Linked DNA regions of Sus scrofa. The protein of the gene in region 5 purifies or fractionates together with the protein of the main gene of each other region. This does not show direct contact. Links are inferred from orthologs where the notes say so. Each region holds a gene or a part of one and is shown on either strand. Other genes may lie near its edges. The genes, in order: FTSJ3, NOP56, NIFK, NPM1 and RRS1.

Region 1 (4,012 bases), on a different chromosome or scaffold from region 5:
TACTGCAGGAAGAACAAGCCAGCCTGTGGTTCTCAAAGGCAAGCAGCAGCTGGGTGCCAGGATGGCCGGGACTGGCGTCCTCAGGGCAGGGGGTGTCTGACGTTTTTGCCACCACAGGATGGCTTCAGCGGGATCGAGGATGATGCTGACGAGGCCCTGGAGATCAGCCAGGCACAGCTGTTGTACGAGAGCCGTCGCAAGGGGCAGCAGCCACTGCCAGCACCTTCCAGCGTGAAGACTGAGAGAAAACCACCCCCATGCCAGGGTGAGGCCCCTGAAGGGGCAGGGGCTCCTTCAGGGACAGAGGCTGCCACAGGCCCTGGCGGGGAAGCCAGAGATAGCAGCTCTGACAGCGACAGCAGCAGCAGTGAGGATGAAGACACGTGAGTGGTTGCAGCTGACGGGAGAAGGGATGAAGAGGAGCAGTGGTTCTAATCGTTGCTAAGTTGGGGGTCTTCAACCTTGCCGGTAGATGGGGAATTTAAAAAATACTGAGTAGGAGTTCCCATTGTGGCACAGTGGTTAACGAATCTGACTAGGAACCATGAGGTTGCGGTTCGATCCCTGGCCTCGCTCGGTGGGTTAAGGATCTGGCGATGCCCTGAGCTGTGGTGTAGGTCGCAGACACAGCTTGGATCTGGCGTGGCTGTGGGGCTATGGCATAGGCCAGCGGCTACAGCTCTGATTCGGCCCCTAGCCCGGGAACCTCCATATGCCATTGGTGCAGCCCTGAAAAGACAAAGACCAAAACAAGCAAAAACTGATTAAAGTGGTCTGCAGGACAGCCTGGGTGGCGAGGTTCTGGAAGTTCCCCAAGCAGTTTTAAGGAGAACCAGGGTGCGGTGAGGCAGGAGTGGGTGTGAGTGGCATGTATGATGGTGGAGCATCCTGCAGTCGGACTCCCCCCTCTTCCCCAGTTGGAAACCACGCAGTCAGAAGCGAAGACGGGGGCCTGAGGCAGGGGATGACGACGGGTTTGAGATCGTGCCCATTGAGGACCCAGGTGAGAGCTCCAGCCCTAGTGGAGTGGGAGGCCACCGGGAAGGTTGTGTTGAAACTGAGCTTTAACTCTCCTGCTCTCTCTAGCGAGACATCGGATACTGGACCCTGAAGGCCTGGCTCTAGGCGCCATTATTGCCTCTTCCAAAAAAGCCAAGAGAGACCTCATAGATGACTCCTTCAGCCGGTAAGGAGCCAAAAGTCGTGAGAAGTGGCCCAGGCGGGTGGGGAGGGAGGATTTCTAATTTGAAAGCCTGGGGTGGTCACCAGGGCTGGCGTACTCTCCACGCAGGTACACATTTAATGAGGATGAGGGGGAGCTTCCAGAGTGGTTTGTGCAGGAGGAGAAGCAGCACAGGATACGACAGCTGCCTCTTGATAAGAAGGAGGTGGAGTATTACAGGAAACGCTGGCGGGAAATCAACGCCCGTCCCATCAAGAAAGTGGCTGAGGCTAAGGCCAGAAAGAAACGGAGGGTAAATGGCCGGGCTTGCCGAGGTTCCAGGTGGAGGGTGGGGGGCAGGGGTAGGAAGGGTGAGCCTCACAGAGCTCCTTCTCCAGATGCTGAAGAAGCTGGAGCAGACCAAGAAGAAGGCAGAAGCTGTGGTCAACACGGTGGACATCTCAGAGCGGGAGAAAGTGGCACAGCTTCGAAGGTGAGGGGCGGGGAGTCGCCCGCGAGGGTGTGTGAGGTTGGGGAGCGGCCGAAAGCCTCTGACCTGGGTCCTCCATTTACAGTCTCTACAAGAAGGCAGGGCTTGGAAAGGAGAAACGCCAGGTCACCTATGTCGTAGCCAAAAAAGGTGTGGGCCGCAAAGTACGCCGACCAGCTGGAGTCAGAGGTCACTTCAAGGTGGTGGACTCGAGGATGAAGAAAGACCAAAGAGCACAGCAACGGAAGGAGCAGAAGAAAAAGCACAAGCGCAAGTGAGCAGAGCTGCAGGACTTCCAGCAGGACTGTGTAAGGACGAGGCCTTCCGCCTCCTCAGTACCATCCCGTCCCTTGTTGCCAGCATCACAGTGTGAAAAGACAGGTGCCGGGCACTTGGGGGTGGTCCTGTGCTGTGAGGGGGATGTCTTCCTGGCTGGAAGAAGGGCTCCTGTTAACATGCCACTGAAATGTCCTGTCGGCACCATCCCAGACCCCACAACCGTTGTGGGGTAAGAAAATCACACCCTTTTTAAATCCTAAGCGGGGGAGTTCAGTGTTGGGATGGCACGTGCTGTAGTCTGCTCCTGGGCAGGTGGGCATCATCTGAATAAAATCAGGATGATCAGTGCGTGGTAACTGTTGACACCACGTGCTGCACTGTTCCAGATCACAGTTAATACGTACCGACTCATGGTGAAGTAAATGACAAACAATCCACAGGTCCCAGTAGTAAACCATTTACTAGAGCAAGCAGAAAGGAATGCACATCTTAAAGAAACCTTCACAAAGTCACAAAATTTGAAGTACGTATATTTTTCCTTTTATAAACAAGATAGAACAAAAATCATCAAAATCATTTCAGCAAAAGATTCTTCTACCATTGTGGCAAGTTAAAAAAAATACAGTGAAATAGGAGAAGACACTTTAAAAGCTGTTGTTGGATTTTTGCTTAATTTTCCATTTAGCAACATTTCAGGCCCAGCGCGGCTCTGGGTCTGGCAGGCTGCTGCTTCCTGTCTCAGGGCTGGGGAACCTGAGCATCACTTTTCCCTCAGAATCAGACATCTCCCTTCCCTGCAAATGTTTGGATGCACCAAAGTGCTTCCCACACATCCCTAACACCTCTGTGGATTGGGTTCGTAGGAGCAGCCAACTCCTGCAAAGGGGTCTGCCTGGCCACAGAAAAAGAACTTTATTTGTAGATGTTTTTAAGGTGACATTTTAGTAAAAAATATGCACTACATAGAATATAAACCTAGAATGAGTTTTGTGCCTTATAAGGCCCTTTCTTCCAAGGTTTCCTCAACTGACCCTCATGACAACTCACCCAGAGCCAAAAGAAGCTTCTCAGGTCTCACTTCTAAGGACCAAAGCAGCTTCCCAAAAACATCTGAAAAATGACCCAGAAGAGGGGGTAATGTCTCCAAGCTCCAACTACTCACTAAGCACAGGGGGTCCTTGCACCTTGGGCCCCAACCCAGCCCTGAGACACCTAGTTACCAAAAATCTTTCTAAAAATAAAATTAAAGACAATTGATTCACACTTCAGCACATACCCTTTAACTGTCCCATCGACTTTTCTTGCGCTTGGGGGCTCAGGGACAGCAAACCCATCAGCTGTCTTATCTGTCTTGCTGTCTGTCTTATCCGCCTTGGTGCTGTCTGCTTTGGGGTCCATCTTGCTCTCACGATTACAACTTTCTTTCCTGCTTTCACCATTCCGACCATCGCTTGCGCCTCGGCTCTCCCCGTGGCGGCCTCCACCTCCTCCGTGCCTGTTCTCTCCATGAGGGTGGCCATCAGTGTGACGCCGGCCATCGGCATGACGGCTGCTGCTTTCTGGGTAGCGGTATCCATCTCCATGGCGACCACCATCTCCATGACGCGGGCTCTCACCGTGCCGATTGCCACTCTCTCCATGACTATGTCGGCTGCCACCCCGGTTCTCAGTATATCGCTCTCTCTTCCCATTGCCACCCCCAGTCCCTTCTCGGCTGTTATTCCCTGGAGCTGTGTTGTTGACTCCCTGGGCTCCGGCAGAAGGGTAGGTCACTGGGGCGCTGCTGAGGTTGCCAGCACTGCCAAAGGCTGGGACGCCCTTGGTGGCACCGGCAATAGGGCTGTCAGGACTGTTATGACCCTGTTGGGCTGAATTAGTTGGAACTGAATTCAAGCTCCCTGCACTAGTCCATCCACTTGCTCCAGCAGCAGAGCTTCCAGCCTTCTGGTTGCTTAAGCTGGCAGCGACAAAGTGACTCTTGTACTGTGACTAAAAGAGACAACAGCAGGTGAGATACTAAGTTAAGAAACTTGACGGCCCCACAATTCCATGGTTTCTGTGCCGCTACCTTAATGGAAACA
Region 2 (4,514 bases), on a different chromosome or scaffold from region 5:
CCGTAGCAGAGGACTGTATAGGTCAGGGAGCCCTGGTCAGCCATCACTGTGATCCCCGAACAAGCAGTGGGCACCAGAAGTGGCACCTGAGTGTAGGCAGGTGCCCTCACTGGTACCTGAACAGGGCCTTTTCGGCCCCAAGGATCTGCACTGTGGACGCTGGATACTTGGCCAGATTGGTGAGACTGCCAGCATGAGCAATGAGACGTGCACCTACCTGGAGAAGAATTTAAGAATTAGAGGCTGGAACTGCCAACCTACCAACTGCATAATCCTGCTTCATCTCCTCCCCGTCAAGTTCAACTGGGAAAGATACGACGGGTCAGGAAATACAACCGTACAAATAGGCATCGTAATTCCTCCAGCCCCCATTTTTTCTTCCCCGTGACGCACCGCTTCCCCAATTAGGGCTGACAGGCTGGGGGCTACTTGGCTCATCTTGGACCGCAGGTAAGTGTGTAGGCTTTGGCGGTACTCTGACAAAGACACCACACGACTGGAGAAGCTCTCGATGTTTATCAAGTCAATGGCAGATATGTCCATGCCTAAAGGACATCAAGTGTGAGTGCAGGAGCCAAACAGCCAGAGACCCATACCTGATTTTAGTTTTGGGCACTGCACTGACCCATGGAGGACCGAGAGGCATCCAGAATAGCCTTAGCCTTGGCCCCATCCATTGTCAGCTCCTCCAGCTTCTCCAACTTTTCTTCGTTCAGCTCCCTTCGGTTTCCAATGAACTGAGCAAGGCGGCAGTATGTAGCGTTATCATTAATGATCTTCACGAGCTCGGGAAAGTGATACCCATACCATTCCCTGCAAAGAGCCACAATCACTCCCTGGCCCAGCTGCTGAGTCCCAAATAAAACCATGGCCCCAGCCCTCTCCACATCTACTCTTTGCCAAGAGGAAAAGTCACATCCAAAACCTTGTTCCGTGTCCCCCCATTCACAATACAGACCAAGCAAAGGGCCTGGGCTGAGGTGTATATGGGGTGAGTTGCTCTGCCTCCTCTTTCTATACAGTCAGTGTAAGAACACAGCCTGTGGTAAGCACTGGGAGGCCCAGCTCTACCCCACATGTACCCACAGGAGCCAGTCTCGATTTCAGGATTCAAAATGAGCCAAACCACAGACCCAACACCTCATTTCGCAAGGGTCACCCCTACACTTTACCTGACACGCATCGAGAAGGTATTGATGTCCTTATCCAGCTGGTCCAGGAGGCTAATGGACTGGATAATCATATTGTCCACCCGGTTCACATTGAACTTAACTTTGGCACGAGAATAGCTGTGTCCCAGCCCCAGTTGGGCTTTACAGGCAGACAGATCAGTGAGACCTTTCACCAGGTTGTGGAAGTGCAGTCGAACTCCTGGAGGAGGGCAAGACTGTGAGCAAGGAGGGGCTCTAAGCTAGCTCCCGCATCCGTGGGCACCACCCAAACAGGGCTTCTCAGAAGCACCCTTAAAGCACCTTAATAAAAAAGTTCCCACACCCCCTTTAAGATTTCATTAATAGATGGTCTCACCTCGAAGGACCTCAGCTATCACACCTCCAGTCTGGCAGTTGTACCCCAACTCCTCTTGTATAGCAGCACCTATCTTGGGGTCCCCAACCCCCAAGAGTACTTTCTTCTTTTTAGATGGCAGGTGAGTCTCCAGGAACAGGCGGAGATCCTCATGGACAACACCTCAGGGCAAAGAACAGAGCTCCCACTAACATGCTGAAGGACGCATAAAGGGATCCTATCCCCTCAACTGCCTATTGAGTGACACAGTGATCTTACAATGGTCTTGCAGAACATGCTAGGATGGTGTGCCAGGACCCCCGCTGCTCCAGGCTTTGCTCAGACACATGGAGACATCAATGATCATACTCAGGGGATTGACAGATTCAAGTCATCACTGCAAAGCCTGCATCAAACATGGGAGGACTCAGGCGAAATAACGTAAATGAGAAATATGGAGCACAATGTAAGCATTCAGAAACTGAACTGCCTTCTGAGACCAAACCTCCCTTGGTCAAAACTGCCCTTTCCAATTAAGCACCAGTCCCTCATCTCCACCAGATTTAAGAGTTTATCACCACAGTGCCACATGCGATAAAGCCTATGTCCTCGACTGCGCTAACCACCTTTTTTGGCTGTTCTGCTGTTGCACGGTGTGCTTTAAGAGGATAACGGTAGCAGAAACCATATCTCGGCTTCTCTCTCCCAAAATACTTAGTGGCCAACTCACCTTCAGACACAGCGTTGGCATTTTCCAAGGCAACCTGAGACGAGGAAAAGGGAGAAAAGGCCACGAGACGAACTATGTTGTGGAACTTGCCCAAGTTCAGCACGCACTCCTCCACCTGGGGGGAGAAAGCATGAATGGTTTCTTTCCCTCCCTCTTGCCTCTAGGGCGCAGTAAAGCAGCAGCTTTCAGACCCGAACGCACATTAAGGATCTAATAAACCGATCATGGGCCCTAAATGCCGATTCCACTTTATTGGTATGGGATGGAGTCCAGGAAGCTACTTTCAAATGTTTCTAACGCGATTCTAATCGTGAAAGCAAGTAAGGACCCCTGGTCTGGAGCTGTCTGGCCCAGAGCACCCTCCACAACTCGCGGCCGGCCACGTGGGAGCGCGCGGTGCATGCTGGGCCGCGCGCGGCCCAGGGGGATGCGGCGCAGCCGGCGAGCCCACTGCGTTCACCCACCTGCGGCAGCAGCAGGCTGATCTCTTCCACCTCCTTCAGCGCCAGCAGTGCGTAGCCGACCGCGTGCTCGAACAGCACGTGCAGCAGCACCTGGAAAGCAAGCCGGGACACAAGCTATCAGCACCAGCCCCGCGTTCACCCGGTTCTTCTTCCGAGGCAGGCGCCGACCCCGGTGCCGGCTCCGGCCCGAACCCAGCCCCAAACCACGGCCTCCGGCCTGCCCGCACGCCACAACCACTCCTCACCATGGCGCTCGCTCCTGGCCCAGCTCGCAATGCGGCGAGCGGGCTCTGGCGCGCGGAACCGGGCTCCGGAGGCCACGCCCCCGAGCCATCAGCCAATCAGAGGTCTGGGACGATACCATTGCAGGCCTCCAGAGGGGTCCAGCGGGATGGTATGGCCCGCAAAGCGGGGGCGGGGCTCGCGAGCGCGGGCGAGCCGGCTTTTTCCGGCCTCTGCTGCGGCGCGGTTGTCGGGCACGCGCGGGTCGCTCTAGGCCTTGCAGGCTACCAAACGGTTTGGAAAGACGCATTTCTGGCTAACTGTGCCATCCCGCATGTGTTCATCACAGAAGTTACCGGCAGCAGAGCTCGGCGGAATCCGGGCAGGAGGCCTTGTGCGGGCCGCGGCGACCCTTCCCAGCCGAAACTGTTGCGGAGCCCGCTCTCCATAGGGCTGGGAACTTAGGCACCGAGGCCTAGTCCCAAGACCCACACCCCCAGGACCCCTTTGTCCCCGTCCGCCGCTAGGCAACGACTCTCTCCGGAGCCTCGGGTCAGTGAGCTCTTCGCTCTTTACCGAGATGGAAGCGGGGCCTGGGGCGCGCTGGCCCGGACCCTGACTCAACGTGATTCTTCCTGGCTGGCTTCGTGCTTTTAAGTTATATTTTATTTATCTTTTAAAATGAGGGCGGCAGGCTATGAAGTAGGAAAGAAAGATGACCCTACCCCCTGCTCTTCCTAGTTCGGTTTCTCGCTCTCTGCTTCGGATGAACCCTACTCTTTTTGCGGGGCCACGTGTTGCTCGCCGTGGTGAACGACCCTAAATTCTTATTAAGACCCGGCCCCCAGTGAACTGCAGCTGCTTCCGTGTCCTTGGGGCACTAGGCAGACTCTTTTGAAATTACTTTTGCTTTAATAATTAATGTTAGAGTTATAAATCCGAAGCCTGGTTATTTCGAAATAGTATATATGCTGGTAAATTAAAAAAAAATCATTTTAAGGGGCTTTTTAAAAACAAATTCCCATAACTAGAGCGTATTTATAAATTTATTTTCTTAAGCAGTTCAGTTATTTGACAAAATCCAAGTACTGAGCTCATTCTTAAAACCTAAAATATTAAAATTTTACGTGTGGTTGGTAAGTCTTAAAATCTTATGGTCTCGATATATTGCTTACAAATATGCTTAAATCTTGTTACACGTATCTGCTTAAAGTTAGGAATCTGAAGCAGTTACGCAAGATCATGTTTTAAAGTGAAATTGCAAAATTAATGTATTATATCGGTATGGTAAGTTCTTTTAAGCGTTATAAATAGCAAATTAAATAGAAGTTTCTGAAGTGTGATGGAAAATATCAATGATATGACTGATTTACTTCGTTACTCCTATATTTAATCCTAAATATTTCTAGGATTACTGGTACTTATTTTCTAAAGTAGGGATTTCAAAGTTGGAATCTATTAAGAAATTGCAGAATTTAGACATTCTTAGCTTTTTTTTTTTTTTTTTTTTTGCCATTTCTTGGGCCGCTCCCACGGCATATGGAGGTTCCCAGGCTAGGGATTGAATCAGAGCTGCAGCCGCCGGCCTACAC
Region 3 (4,816 bases), on a different chromosome or scaffold from region 5:
AACACCAGATCCAGGCTGAGACTGCAACCTATGCCACAGCTCACGGCAACACCAGATCCTTAACCCACTGAACGAGGCCAAGGATCAAATCATGTATAGTAGTCAGATTCATTAATGCTGAGCCACCATGGTAACTCTTGTATGTTTTCACTTTTATGAGGAATCTAAAAAATAAAGCAAACGATTAAATATAGCAAGGCAGCAGCAGTTCCACAGACACAGAGTAATGGACTAATGGGGGGAGGAGCAAATTGGGTCAGAGATTAAGAGGTTCAAACCACAAGGTATAAAATAGACAAGTAACAGGAATGTAATGTACAGCACAGTGAAATAGCCAATATTGTATAACAACATTATATGGAGTATAATCTATAAAAATATTACTAAATTGTATACTTGAAATTATTGTAAGTCGACTACAACAAAAAAGAAAAAATTAGAATTTTTTAAATGATAAGATCATTGCTTTGATAAGTCCTTTTTTTTTTTTCTTTTTTTGGCTGCCCCAAGGTATATGGTGTTCCTGGGCCAGGGAGAAGATCCAAGGCACAGTTTTGGCCTATGTTGCACCTGCAGCAACACTGGATCATTTAACCCACTGCACTGCACCAGGGACTGAACCTGCATCCTGGCGCTGCAGAGATGTCACGGATCCTCTTGTGCCACAGCAGGAATTTCCACCAGTCTTCTTTTTTTGTTGGCTTGTTTTTGTCTTTTTAGGGATACACCTGAGGCATATGAAGTTCCCTGCCTTCGCCACAGCAACAGCAACACAGGATCCAAGCCACATCTGTGACTTACACCAAAGGTCAAGGCGATGCCAGATACTTAACCCACTGGATTGAAGCTACATGCTCATGGATACTAGTAAGGTTCTTAGCCCATAGAGCCACAGTGGGAACTCCAATAAGTCCTATTTTTAAAGTCCTTGACAGATTTTGCCAAATCTCTTTCTAGAGAAACTGAACTCATCTCCATCCCCCTGGCCACTTGGCTGCACTCTCCTGAGTGTGAATGTTAACACTGTAGACATTCTGGGCTCATTTAAGGGTGAAAATATGACTCATTTAATAGTACTGAAGACTCTGTTATAGGTGGTACACTTCTACAAGTTTCCTTGAAGGGCAGTGAACCCTATGAGCAGCTACCCCTCTCCACTCTCCCCACCCCCATCCCTCCAGGAGCCCCCCCCCCGCCCCCCCCCGCTTTGCCAAGGTCATTGCCACACTCAGGGTCTAGATTCGGGGTTGTGCATGAAGTTAGACCTGGCACAGGGCAAGATGTGGCCAAGGTGATAGTCACAGAGAAGGACAGAGAAAGAAAATTTCCCTCCCAACTTCAGGTCCTGTGGCCCTAAACTGAATACAGGCGGAATTTTTAGTTGTCAGGTGACATGTCCTGAGGCTGCACTATTGAGACTAATGAAACAAATGACACTTTCTCTCCACTTCCCCTAAAATTGTCCCTTTCAGCCCAAAAGCCCTGTGACTGAGCAAGGGTCAGCCAGGCAGGGCTGAGCATGCTGACTCATAGCTGGAAGGTTGGATGACCCCTCAGGGACCAGGCACAATGGATGGAAAAGGAGGAGAAGAGGAGGAAGGCGAGCAGGGCTGGGTAGGCACCTCAGCCCCACCTCTCAGAGTCTTCTGTTCCCAAGACCCAGCTCCCTAGATACTCAGCACACCCTGCCTTACCCTGAAGCTCTGACATCAGCCCTCACCATGCTACCTACCCCATCCCCTGCCAGGGGCTCCAGTGCATAGGTGGTGATGGTGGCCCCATAGGAAAGACATGCCACTATTGAGTTCCCACAGAGGGGTGGCATGGTGGGTGGTCAGTGGGGGCAAAAGAAAGGAGAGACATTCATTGAGCACACGCAGCCACACACTCAGGTCTGTAGAAGTGTCTGGAGGCATTTGGTTGTTAAGTGACTTGGGGGGAGAAGGGTGGTGCTGACATCAGGTGCTGGAGACAGGGTGCCAAGGCAGAGTGGGACACACAGTCCAGTGAAAAATTGTTCTACCCAAGAAGCCTCTGCCCTCTACAAGAAAAATCGGAAGGAGAAAACGTAATACCCAAATTTTAGGTAGTGCATTTGTTTTCATTGGGCAATCTGCCACCTCTGTCTCCCATACTGGCTGGCATGGACTACTACTGTAGCCTTGACTCCCTGTTTCTTCAGTCCACCTGCCACCCTAACTAGTGGAGTTATTTGAAAGGTATGAACAACCACAGCCTTCCATAAAACCCTCCCATTCCCCTGCATTTACAATAAAACCCAAGCTTTCAACCTTGACAAGCAGAGCCCTGGAGCTCCCACCTGCACCCTTGGTCCTCACCCCTTGCTGAGCTCCAGCCACAATGGCTGGTCCCTTCTTTCCAGCCTAAGACCTCCATGCCTGCTCCCCATGCCTTCAGGTCTCAGCTCAAAGCTACCTCCTCCGGAGGCCCTCCTTGCCACCCAGGATGCCTCTCCCCCAATCTCTTCAGTATCTCACATAGCACCAGACCCACCCTCAGACGTCCTTTATCTGCCCCTCCCCCCAAGCTCTAAGTTCCCCAAAGGCAGCAGCAGAGGGACGCACAATAAGAGCTCAAAAAACAAGTGAAAAAGGAAAATAGGGGAGTTACCATTGTGACTCAGTGGTAACGAATCCGACTAGTATCCATGAGGATGTGGGTTCCATCCCTGGCGTTGCTCACTGGGTTAAGGATCCTGCGTTGCCAGGAGCTGTGGTATGTGGAGTTGCTATGGCTGTGATGTAGGCGGGTAGTTGCAGCTCCGATTCAACCTGTAGCCTGAGAACTATGCTGAGGGTGCAGCCCTAAACAGCAAAAAGAAAGAAGATAAATAGAAAAGAATTAATGGTTAGCAAGACCTCAAGGGCACGAGTATTGTTTTGGGGTTGGTTTCGTTTTTGGTTTTGGTTTTTGACTGCGCTCAGGACTGGAGGAAGTTCCCTGGCCAGGGATAGAAACTGCAGCAGCTACCTGCCCTGAGCCAACCCGCTGAGACACCAGAGAATTTCTGGAGTCGATTGTCTAGGGGTCAAATGAAAGCTGCAGCTGCCCGGCTTACACCACAGCCACAGCAACACCAGATCTGAGCTGCATCTGTGACCTACACTACAGCTCACGGCAATGCTAGAACCTTATCCCAGTGAGCGAGGCCAGCGGTGGAACCCACACCTTCATGGATGCTAGTCGGGTTCTTAACCTGCTGAGGCACAATGGGAACTCCCTGGAGTTGGTTTTTATCCCAACCCTGGCCCTTGAAATGTGAGGGCCATAGAGGAAACGCTAACAAGCTATTCACAGCAATTTTGGGGAGCTGGCAGGTGTTAGAGTGAGGTCAGCGGCTGTTGAGGCAGGGGACGCCGGAGCTCGCTGGACCCTCCCCGCGCCCCGCCCAGGCCCCACCCCCTGCCGCGCCGCGTCGCGCCCAGGCCCCGCCCTCACTTCCGCTTTGGAACCCTACAGGACTCGCATTTCCGGGAGCTCCGCGTGGATTTGGTTAGCCCGGTAGCAGGCTTAATGGCGGCTCTCGCTGCCCAGGTTGGGCCGCTCTTGTCCCTGAATCCGCAAGAAGATGCTAAGTTCCAGAAGAAGGTAGCGCTGGCTCGCCGTCGCGCAACCAAGGTGAGTGGCCTGCGCGGCCCCAACCGCGAGAGGAGGCGGCTGGCGCGCCCTGGGCCTTCTGCCCAGCGCGTCTCGGCAGCCCCACGCCTGTGCCTCAGCAGGGTCACCCTGGAGGCCCCGACCCCAGGAGACTCCGACCCCAGGAGACCCCGACCCCAGGAGACCCCGACCCCAGGAGACCGAGGTTTTCCCGAGAGGACCGAAAAATGAAGGGGTGGGTGTTGGGGTGACGATGGAAAAGAGGAGGCCAGCCGATGGGAGCGCCCCTTGTACCGCAGATCAGCCCCAGATCCGAAAGAGCGTTCTTTGGCTCTGCCCCTGTAGGGAAAATGTGGCCTCTGTTCACTGGCACTAGTTTGGGAGTCGGAGTTTTGAGGAAGAGAAAGAACAGTTTTATTGCTTTGCCAGGCAAAGGAGGACACGGCAGGCTAATGCCTCAAAGCTATGTCCTGACTTGAGAGGGGATAGCAAGGGGTTTTATAGGTTTAGCTCGGAAGACAGGATTATTGATTAAGATGTCTATGTTATTCTTAATCCATAGATCATTTCAAAGTAGTCAAATCCGGAGTCAGTCGGTTTGGTGATGGTTTCTGGTTGTCTTCAGGGTTATCGTCCCTTGACCTTCTCTCTGGAATAAAGACTGCTTAAGGGGAAGGGGTGTCAGAAGAGTGTTTCAATTATAAAAGAAAACATTAGGTGCAATATAACTCTGATTAGAAAGTAAACATTAGTAATAAGTTAGCAGACCAAGGCAGGACACAACATAATGGAGACTGTTTTAACTAGGTTTTAGCTGTAACAGTATTTTCTAATCATTAACTCTCGAGTCAGCCTTTTGAGACTGAGGGGAGGCCTGGGAGACTAAAGGAAAGGCCGTTTATTTCAAAACACAAAGATTTAGGGTCTGGTACATGGTTTCATCCCCAAATTGGGGAGGTTCGGTTGCCAGGTCCATGGTTTTGGAATCCTTAAGAGACAATTTTTGCCAGGCTTCATTTGCTTACGACTAGGGGCCCTGACATAAAGTTCTGTTTCCCAAAGGTTTTAGCATAAAATGCATTCCCGGAAAACTTAAAAGTCCTTATTATAGAAAACAAGGGTATGTTGGAGGTACTGTTAACTAACGTCTTAAAATAGTTGACTTAGGTGAGTACGAATTAAACGATGATCTGCAAAA
Region 4 (4,679 bases), on a different chromosome or scaffold from region 5:
AATGTATTTATATAATATGCACTATGGCTCCCAGAGAGTTCATGCTCTGTGCAAAACTGCACTGAATAATCATGGTCTAGAAAGCTGAAAGAAATTATAAAGTCATTTCAATTTTTCTTGCAGGGGCCCAAAGAACATTAACCCCTTCTCCACTCCCCTGTAGCTCTTTCTCTCTCTCATTCTAACACCTCTAAATCCGCCTCAGGCACAGTCCTCTCCTCCCTTTTATCAGCCTTTCTCAGTTCCTTTACGGATGTTCTCCGCTACATCTTTTCTCCCCAACAAGTGGCAATCCGTAGTAACTTTCCAAGACTCGGTTTTTTTCTCTAGTAATTGGTCACACTCTGCATTTTAAAAGATGCTAGAACCAAGCTGGTAAAGACTTTTTTCAGTTGGGAGCAGGGAAAAGCGGAGAACAGCTTAGTCCATTCACAAATAAGCATTGATTTCTCCACATTTTGAATTTTGATTCTGTTAATTATTGGTTCATGCGTATCACAGTTTATCTTCCCAAGTAGCCTATGTTTGGAGAAAAGGCGGTAGGGGATTGCTGTCACTATTTTTATTCTTTACAGTACTTTAATTTTTTAAATTTGTGTAAAAACCATAATTGTGGGGATCTTCAGCACCCCTGCCCGAGGAGCTGCGGTTGGGGGAAGGGTGGTCCTCAGTTTGACAGCGTACTTTAAGATACTCATTTCCAGGCTCGCTTCCAGAGTCTAAGTTTGTGTATTTCTTAAACGTCAAATGCCTTCTTTTCAGGCCAGAACAACCTTAGTGATGTTAAAGATTAAGAACTGCACAACCTCAGACACTGGACCCCCGTGTAATCCCCCGAGCTTTTAGACAGGTGTTAGTATTAGACTTGGAGCTAGAGAACCCTGTTTCTGTAACCACTCCGTCTGGGCACCTTACTTCCTCGTGGCGCGTCTCCCTGTCCGCAAAATGGGGATAGTCACATCTGCCTCTTACCTGTTACGTGGGGACATACGGTGGATACACAACCCTTTTAAAACTTTCTCTTTGGAGAAATCACCCAGGCTTGGTTCCTGCCCTGCTCATATGAAAGAGACCGATTTAGAACCCCCTGTTGGCCTCCCAGTGACGTAATGTCGAAGAATTTTAAATTCGGAGATGTTTCCTCAGAAAGGACAGGGGGTTAAAAACAGAACCGATTAAGTCTGGCCAGCAGCTACATCTTTTCTCCCCAACAAGTGGCAATCCGTAGTCCACTGTCTCTGGCACCTTAAGCTTTAACTTTGGGGAAACAATGAACTCTGGGCTCAGGCCTTCAGGCGAGCCAAAAAACTGGAAGTGGTTATGCCTGTTTGCAGGCCTGCGAGGCATGAGGAGATGGCGAAAGGAGAAATGAGCTGCTCTCTGGTTCACTTACAACCAGCTCGCCCTTCGTACCTAACCCAGCTAAGAGTTGCTGCCGCCATTTTGCAGGGTGGGCTGCGCAGGCTCTTGGCGCAAGGCCCGCGCTCCTGAGCGGGAGAGGACGTGGAAGGTTTGGAGGGTGGGGGAACGCGCGCTACGAGGGGGAAGTACGCGTGCGCACAGGCGGTGGCGGCGAAGTGGGTGGGACCAGGGTACGAATGCGCGTGCTCGGTGGGAGCCCGCGAAGTACCTGGAGGAGGTGGGGGGCGAGGTAGCAAGGAGTGATGTTGAAGAGCGCTTGCGCAGGAGAGAGACTGTGCGGGGAGGGGGGCTTCCGAGCACGCGCGCGGAGGCGGGACTTGAAGAGCTCTCGCGAGATCGTCAGGGTGCTATATATGTGCGCAGGGAGCCCGCGTCCTTTCCCTGGTGTGATTCCGTCCTGCGCGGCTGTTCTCCGCAACACTAGTGGATTATCTCCGTCCGCCTTCTCTCCCACCCAAGTGCGTGCCACCAACCCATGGAAGATTCGATGGATATGGACATGAGCCCCCTGAGGCCTCAGAACTATCTTTTCGGTAAGTACTGGCGTGTTGGGCCAAGGCCGAGCGCGGCCTGGTGGCTTTGGAGTGGGTGGTGGAAATCACACTGAGGCCTGGGCAGGTGGAGAAAGCTAAGCAGGCTGGAGGCCTGCGGGAGTGGGAAGCGAGCTGCTGGGGTCCTGAAGCTTAAGGATGGGGACCTGGGAGGGCGAGCCGGCACCACGGAGTGACTGGGAAGTAAGGGCGGCCTGAAGCGTGAGCGGTCCGAGGCCCAGGGCCTGAGTTAATGTGGAACCCACCGGTTTAGGGTTGGGCGTTAGCTGGGGCACGTGGTAGAGCTCCGGGCATAATTTTTTCCTGGGGTTGCGTGAGTTGGTAGGCTTCTGATTCCAGACTAGTGCCTGATGCTGGACTCCAGGTTGGTGGTGCAAGAGATTGTGGGGGATCAGGGTGTGAGACGTGGGCTTCCTATCTGGACGGAGAGGACAAATGGAGCCTGGCGTTGTCCTACAGGCCTAAAGGGTCAGGAGGTCTAGGGCCCAGACTCGGCCCGGGTTCTTCGGCCGGTTACAGGGGGATGGGAGCCGCGGCCCGGCGTGGGGAGGCCGCTACCGCTGGGAGCACGTGGTTGCCACGTGGTTGGGGGAAGGAGGGGTGTGGGCGCTACATCCGGGGTTCACTGGTGTCTTGTCACTCCGAGCCTGGGGTCCTGGGGCTTAATTGAGGATGGTGGACGGGAAATTTTAGGTGAAGTGGTTCGTAGCGCCAGTACTCTTGAGGTCTTTGTTAAGTGGTTAACATCAGTGCTGGTAGTTCTAGAGTTCTTTTTCTATCTCTCCGCGCTCTTTGCAGATGACTTACTGATACTCGGAAAACTGAAGGTTGCACTTAATAGTTCCAACCCCACAACGCTTGCTTCCAGAGCTGGTGCTTTACAAATGATTTGGGAGGTGGGCAGCAGAGGCAGCCTTCTGTTAAACTTGTAGTTCTATTACCAAGGTTTTGTTGCTCACCTCAATCACACAGTGCCATCCTAGGAGACTTGGGTTGGTTTTTCAACTTCACTAAACTTAATTGTTAAAGCCATTTTTTTTCGGTTAGGTTTTGAAGAAGTGCAAATGCCTTCAAGTTCATTTTGTTATATATCGTGCTGAGATATGTTAATTGAGCAGGAACATTTATACATCTCTTGCAGTAAATAAGTAGATGGCAATTAAATGGTATTATTTAAATTAAAATTTAGTTCTGACTATTAAAATCAGTTTGCCTATTCATGAGTGGTAATGGTAACATGCGCTATACATTAAGGGTTTTATTCTTAGCCGGTTTGAAAAGCTGGAGTTTCTGATCAGTTTATATCAAAAACGTTTGTGTTTACCCTCGGAAATATCCCTGGGATATTTCTAGTTTTGCCTTAGATATAATTTCTGAACAGAGTTTATATATATCACTTGTTAGTTCAGAGATGGATTGTGGACCCGTGTAACAACCTTTAGTTCTCCTACTTTGTAGTCTTTCTGTGTTGTAAATACAAGCTGTCGATGTATGTGTTTGTGTAACCACTGTCATTTCTAAATTGGCACTCCTCCTGGGAGTTGGGGTAGGTAATTCAACTTTTTAAAATAGTGGGGTTTTTATCAACATATGTTAGGTTTGGTTTAAGTTCCAGCTTTTACTAAATCTTTGATACTGTTTCCACCTAAGAAGAGTGTAGTTGAGCATAAAATAGTATGATGGAAAGGAGGAATTTATAAAACTATGAAAGTTATTTGCTCTATATGGATGTTATTTGATGTTTATAGACTTGTGTGTTCAAGAAGGCCTGTAAGAGGTACTTCTGCCTTGCTTTTTGGTAGCTAGAATAGAATAGTAAAATCAAGTAACTTTTGGTTACCCACAGTGACGTTTCATTCAGTGTTATTTTTCTCCTTGTTATAGTAGGGTTGTTTCCTCATTTACAGGTTGTGAACTAAAGGCCGATAAAGATTACCACTTTAAGGTGGATAATGATGAAAATGAGCACCAGTTATCTTTAAGAACGGTACGTAAAACTTTTCAAGACAAAGTACTCTCGATTTCAGACACCGCTTAATTTGTGTGGCTTAACATTAGAAAAGTATTTCTATAGTTGTTGTATATGCTTGGTTTTCCACGTGTGTTATAGAAAACCTGCCGTCTTTACCACTCATTTGATATTTTGAACAGTCCAATCACACTGTTCAGCTTTCCTTATTTTCACTGTTACTGTTTCTCTATTTGCTTTTTAGGGCCGCCCCTATGGCATATGAAAGTTCCTAGGCTAAGGGTCAAATTGGAGCTGCAGCTGCCGGCCTACACTGCAGCAACACAGGATCCGAGCTGCCTGTGCAAATCTGCACTGAAGCTCCTGGCAACATGGGGTCCTTAACCCACTAAGGGAGGCTGGGGATCAAACCCGCATCCTGATGGATACACATTGGGTTGGTAATCCAATGAGCCACAATGGGAACTCCCCAGCTTTCCTTATTGTGTCATCTACTTTTCTTGAGTTGTATTAAAAACTCTTTAGGGTAGTGACAAATATACATCTTGTTCCCCAGAGACTAGGCTATAGCCTACTACTTAAATTGTAGGTGGCCGGTAAATGTTAGGCGATTCATACTGTGAGTTAACAGTGGTGATGGCATAAGTATGTGTCATCAAATGCATTTTAGTGTATTTGTTCAAAGTTACTGAGTATGAGACTAGGGTCACATAAAACTTGAAGACAACTTTGAGCTC
Region 5 (4,690 bases):
TGGAAAAGAGAAAAAATATTATAACCCAATTCCTGGGGCATAAAACATGCTCACTAAATGTTTAAAGAGTGAATAAACAAAGCAGAACTGAGGAAAAACAGTGAGCTCAAGAAGAGACGAAACTCAGGGGGGCAGATGTGATAGATGGGGCTGTAGCTAAAGCCCTCTTGAGCTCACCCTCAACTAAATCTATTCCAAACAGCGATATCTATATTCATGGGTTAATTCTCCAACTAATCCCTTCTTCAGTAATCCAATTAAGATAAAATAAAACCTGTAAACCACACAACCAGCAGTGCCTCCCAAACTTGACCATACTCATCACCTAGCTATCTTGTTAAAAATGAAGGTTCTAAATCTTTACATTTGGGGTGAGGCCAAAGAGTCTACATTTCTAAGGCCCAGGTCACCACACCACACTTTTCAAGTATCAAGAGCCTGTAAAACATTGCAGAGAATATTCATGTAGTCTTAAAGCCAGCGTTAAAATAAATCCTGCTCCCAGCTTCCCTAGTTGTAAAACCTTAGACGTCATTTTACCTCTCTGAGTCTTCTGTTGTCATCAGTGGAATATGATGAATTACAGTAACTAACACTTACTGAATGCTTACTATGTGCCAGTAACTAATGCTTCATATTTATTAACTTATAGGACTTATATTAAACAATCCGTCCAAAGCAGGTACAATAAACATGGATCTTATTCTAGGTCGTTTAATTCAAGAGCCTGGTGTTTAATCACTGTGTAAGATTGCCCTTCCAGCCACAGCTCCTCAAGCCATTACGAAGATTAAACAGTAATTGGTATTTAGCTCACCTTCAGAGCACTGATATCCAGACCCTAGAGTAAGCTCCCTTGGGGGCATATTAACTCATTTATCTTTATAGTGGCCCTAGGAGGTAGGTACTATTAGTACTTTCATCTTACGGGTTTTAAAATAGGGCCAAATAAGTTAAACAGTTGAAGTTCAAACACCAGCGCAGTCAAGATTGTAACCAAGGCGGTCTAACAGAAGAGCCAGTCGCTCTTTAGCCACTAGCCAGGAGAGGATGTGAGAGGATGTAGCCCGGGGCGGGGAAGACCAGGCATCGGGCGGCTGGGATGGGGTCACGGCCGTGCCCACTCAGAGCTGCCTATGGCTTCCAAAGCAAACCAAGTCTTCGTCTACACTTGGCTTTAAGTACATCCGTGGGAAGGACCTCTGTCGGCCCACACCCAGGGCCCCATGGGCTCTGGTGAAATATAATTTATCTGTTCCCAAGAAGAACTGACTTAGTAAGTATCTTGAGAACTGACTTAACTTAGTGTAACACAGTCGCTCCGAGACCCCCTTATTCTGGGGCCCCCAAAATTTTCACTGCCCCTCCCTCCCTCACGCCACTGCCTAGTGGAAGCCCCGGTGCCAGTCAAACCTTGGACTTCGTAGTGCGCGGGTTCCTCGCTCCTGCTCCGCCTACATCCGGGCTGGAGCCCAAGGGCCGTCTCTAACCCCATCTGTTCTCCAACACCGCCCTCTGCCGGCCCTTCTTCGGGTCGCCCGCGTTGTGAGCCTTTTCCGGCTGCTCCGGAAGTGGAGCTTTCTCTTCCGGGACGAGCGTCTGGGCGACTGCACGTGGCTGTGTTGCCTTGGCCTTTGCCGGCGCTACTGGAGAATTGATTGGAACTGTTACCCCGGAACAGCCGGAGCCATGGAGGGCCAGAGCGTGGAGGAGCTGTTGGCAAAGGCGGAGCGGGACGAGGCGGAAAAGCTGCAGCGCATCACCGTGCACAAGGAACTAGAGCTGGAGTTCGACCTGGGTAACCTGCTGGCCTCCGACCGGAACCCCCCGACCGGGCTGCGGCATGCGGGACCCACGAAGGAGGCCGAGCTGCGAGCCCTGGCGCGGGACAACACGCAGCTGCTCATCAACCAGCTCTGGCAGCTGCCCACCGAGCGCGTGGAGGAGACGCTGGTGGCGCGGCTGCCGGAGCCCACCACTCGACTGCCGCGCGAGAAGCCGGTGCCCCGGCCGCGCCCTCTTACACGCTGGCAGCAGTTTGCGCGTCTCAAGGGCATCCGTCCTAAGAAGAAGACCAACCTGGTGTGGGACGAGGTAAGCGGCCAGTGGCGCCGCCGCTGGGGCTACCAACGGGCCCGCGATGATACCAAGGAATGGTTGATTGAGGTGCCGAGCAATGCCGACCCCATGGAGGACCAGTTCGCCAAGCGTATTCAGGCCAAGAAGGAACGGGTAGCCAAGAACGAGCTGAACCGGCTGCGTAACCTGGCCCGCGCGCACAAGATGCAGCTGCCCAGCGCGGCCGGCATGCACCCTACCGGACATCAGAGTAAGGAAGAGCTGGGCCGCGCCATGCAGGTGGCCAAGGTCTCCACCGCCTCTGTAGGGCGCTTCCAGGAGCGCCTGCCCAAGGAGAAGGCGCCCCGGGGCTCTGGCAAGAAAAGGAAGTTTCAACCCCTTTTTGGGGACTTTGCAGCTGAGAAGAAGAGCCAGTTGGAGATGTTGCGAGTAATGAACAGCAAAAAGCCTCAGCTGGACGTGACCAGAGCCACCAATAAGCAGATGAGGGAGGAGGACCAGGAAGAAGCGGCTAAGAGGAGGAAAATGAGCCAGAAGGGCAAAAGAAAGGGAGGCCGACAGGGTCCTGGGGGTAAGAGGAAAGGTGGCCCACCCAGCCAGGGAGGGAAGAGGAAAGGGGGCGTGGGAAGCAAGATGAATTCCGGGCCGCCGGGCTTGGGTGGCAAGAGAAAAGGAGGGCAACACCAAGGAGGAAAGAGGAGGAAGTAAATTTCAGCCTCGGACTTGTTTGTAAACCAAGAACTGTACTTAATGTTGACATCTAGGCACTGTAGGGGGACACCAAAGATGTGGCCCCTGCCTTCACTGAGCTTGAAGTTAAAGGGACAGCCTTGCCCTCCTCTGAAAATAGTATGTAAATATTGCACAGGACAAATTAATGTTATTTCCCACAACCAAAACTTTGGCTGAAGATTAAAGGATGTATTTAAGGCTATACGAATTAGGGAAAGAATTTGGTCGAAATTAGGAGTGAGTTCTGTTTTTAAACAGACTTTTTTTTTCCTTGTAAACTTTGTATGTGGTGTGAGGGAGGTCATATTTCAAAGACTTTTAGCATTGTTTTGATAACAAGCTTCTGTATTTATCAAAGTGGGGGAACAAAAAGATTACAAGGTTACATTTTCAGAACTGTTGTAAAGGCCATTTAATAAAGGTATGTCTGGATCTAATATTGCTTTCAAATTTTGTAAGTTTTAAGTAAAGCCAGTGACCTGGATACGTGTTACAGATTATTTTCATTTACTTTCTAGAAGATATCCACCAGCTAACTTATGACGTTAGCAAGACCGCTTTATTAGGAAAACTCATGCTCCTTTTGATACCTGATATATTATTGAAAGTGTACAACTGGTGTCTCTTTGAACACTGAAAACATTAATTTGCTCTAGCTGATAAATTTGTGCTTCACTAAATAATGCAATCTTAATTAATCCTAATTTTATACTTAAATTTTTATCAACATTTATGTCTCCAGTTCTTTTAAAGCTTCAAGTGGGATCTGTTTGGGGAAGAGAGAAACCCACAAAAACCTTGGAACATTATTATCTTTAGATTCATTTGTCACATTGACTTGAGCTGGTTTAATTAGGAGATGAAATGTTTACAGCTATCCTGGGTTTCTTTCCTTAATTGATTTCAGTAACTCACCTTCCTAAATATCTCCTGAAAATTAACAGTAAATCTAGAATGGGGGGAGGGGGCTTTTTTCTGCTGTTAGAGCTCTAGGGAGCCACTCTACTCTTGGTTTTTGGTCTGACAATTGATAGGAAATTAGAATTGGGAGTTCGTTTTGTCTTTTTTTCAGTGTTGTTCCCTTTTTACAAAGTTGTAGAAATTGCTATGAAAGAAAGGATTAATTCAGATTTCATAATGGGTTAATAAAAATATGTTCAATTGTTACTGTCTTAAGATAACTTTCTGATAAAGAGCTGTGCCATCGATAGTGTTTCTGCTAGGACAGGGGGCAGAAGGCAACATAGCATTTTAAAGGAGTCAGAGTGGAAAAGAATGCTCTTTCTCCACATTTCCCAGGTCTCCGACTAGTGACAAAGAGGATTTACACAGAGACTTGGGGAAGTATCCTAAACAGTTACCTGCATGGCAATTTCAAAGGCGGAGGGTGAGACCCTGCAGCTGGAGCAGTCGTAGTTCCGCCTCGTGGGAGAATGGCCTGGAGCCGGAGGGCTGCTGTGGGGGGCGCGAGACCCAGCGGAGCGGGTGGGCGGGCGCGGCCGAGGGGGCGGAGGGGAAGCCAGCGGCACGGATTGGCCGGCGGTGGGGGCGGGGCCCCGAGGAGGGAAACGGTGCAGCCATGGCCGCTGCCGCTCGCGCCCGGGTAGCACACTTGCTGAGGCAACTGCAGCGCGCAGCGTGAGTACGGGGTCGGCAGGCGGGCAGGGGACAGCGCATTCTTCCCGCAGTCATTTTCAGGAACTTTGGATCGCGTTGCCGCAGTGCGCGCCCGCGGCGAGCCAGCCTAGACAGCTCCGTCCCTGTGCCAAGCAGCCAGCGCTGCGCGGTGAGGCCGCTTGTACTCTGCCAGTTCTACGTTAGGGAAAGTAAGCCCCAGAAAGGAGAGCACCCGGTCTCAGATCAGGGCGGGCAATGGAGA

The links.
Region 1: the proteins of RRS1 (region 5) and FTSJ3 purify together in Homo sapiens (affinity purification with mass spectrometry; 3 studies listed by BioGRID and IntAct, counting the BioPlex papers as one, with this or other methods). This does not show direct contact. The link is inferred for Sus scrofa from reciprocal best matches to the Homo sapiens genes RRS1 and FTSJ3.
Region 2: the proteins of RRS1 (region 5) and NOP56 purify together in Homo sapiens (co-immunoprecipitation; 3 studies listed by BioGRID and IntAct, with this or other methods). This does not show direct contact. The link is inferred for Sus scrofa from reciprocal best matches to the Homo sapiens genes RRS1 and NOP56.
Region 3: the proteins of RRS1 (region 5) and NIFK purify together in Homo sapiens (affinity purification with mass spectrometry; 3 studies listed by BioGRID and IntAct, counting the BioPlex papers as one, with this or other methods). This does not show direct contact. The link is inferred for Sus scrofa from reciprocal best matches to the Homo sapiens genes RRS1 and NIFK.
Region 4: the proteins of RRS1 (region 5) and NPM1 purify together in Homo sapiens (affinity purification with mass spectrometry; 3 studies listed by BioGRID and IntAct, counting the BioPlex papers as one, with this or other methods). This does not show direct contact. The link is inferred for Sus scrofa from reciprocal best matches to the Homo sapiens genes RRS1 and NPM1.

What each region holds. Positions count from the first base shown.
Region 1 is NC_010454.4:15,111,827-15,115,838, forward strand, and holds the end of FTSJ3 (pre-rRNA processing protein FTSJ3), read left to right. Parts: coding exon 1-38; intron 39-117; coding exon 118-383; intron 384-917; coding exon 918-1,003; intron 1,004-1,086; coding exon 1,087-1,186; intron 1,187-1,269; exon of another isoform or gene 1,270-1,291; coding exon 1,292-1,475; intron 1,476-1,560; coding exon 1,561-1,655; intron 1,656-1,737; coding exon 1,738-1,930; 3' UTR 1,931-3,199; downstream 3,200-4,012.
Region 2 is NC_010459.5:32,962,356-32,966,869, forward strand, and holds the start of NOP56 (nucleolar protein 56), read right to left. Parts: upstream 2,977-4,514; 5' UTR 2,949-2,976; coding exon 2,946-2,948; intron 2,791-2,945; coding exon 2,701-2,790; intron 2,352-2,700; coding exon 2,237-2,351; intron 1,690-2,236; coding exon 1,528-1,689; intron 1,372-1,527; coding exon 1,173-1,371; intron 814-1,172; coding exon 626-813; intron 546-625; coding exon 394-545; intron 218-393; coding exon 117-217; intron 1-116. UniProt on the Homo sapiens protein: Involved in the early to middle stages of 60S ribosomal subunit biogenesis. Required for the biogenesis of box C/D snoRNAs such U3, U8 and U14 snoRNAs. Part of the small subunit (SSU) processome, first precursor of the small eukaryotic ribosomal subunit.
Region 3 is NC_010457.5:29,717,470-29,722,285, forward strand, and holds the start of NIFK (MKI67 FHA domain-interacting nucleolar phosphoprotein), read left to right. Parts: upstream 1-1,554; 5' UTR 1,555-1,569; coding exon 1,570-1,614; intron 1,615-3,480; coding exon 3,481-3,639; intron 3,640-4,816.
Region 4 is NC_010458.4:52,778,864-52,783,542, reverse strand, and holds the start of NPM1 (nucleophosmin), read left to right. Parts: upstream 1-1,680; 5' UTR 1,681-1,897; coding exon 1,898-1,955; intron 1,956-3,880; coding exon 3,881-3,960; intron 3,961-4,679. UniProt on the Homo sapiens protein: Involved in diverse cellular processes such as ribosome biogenesis, centrosome duplication, protein chaperoning, histone assembly, cell proliferation, and regulation of tumor suppressors p53/TP53 and ARF.
Region 5 is NC_010446.5:68,285,088-68,289,777, reverse strand, and holds RRS1 (ribosome biogenesis regulatory protein homolog), read left to right. Parts: upstream 1-1,564; 5' UTR 1,565-1,689; coding exon 1,690-2,787; 3' UTR 2,788-3,975; downstream 3,976-4,690. Other genes in the region: ADHFE1 (hydroxyacid-oxoacid transhydrogenase, mitochondrial), read left to right, coding at 4,391-4,449. UniProt on the Homo sapiens protein: Involved in ribosomal large subunit assembly. May regulate the localization of the 5S RNP/5S ribonucleoprotein particle to the nucleolus.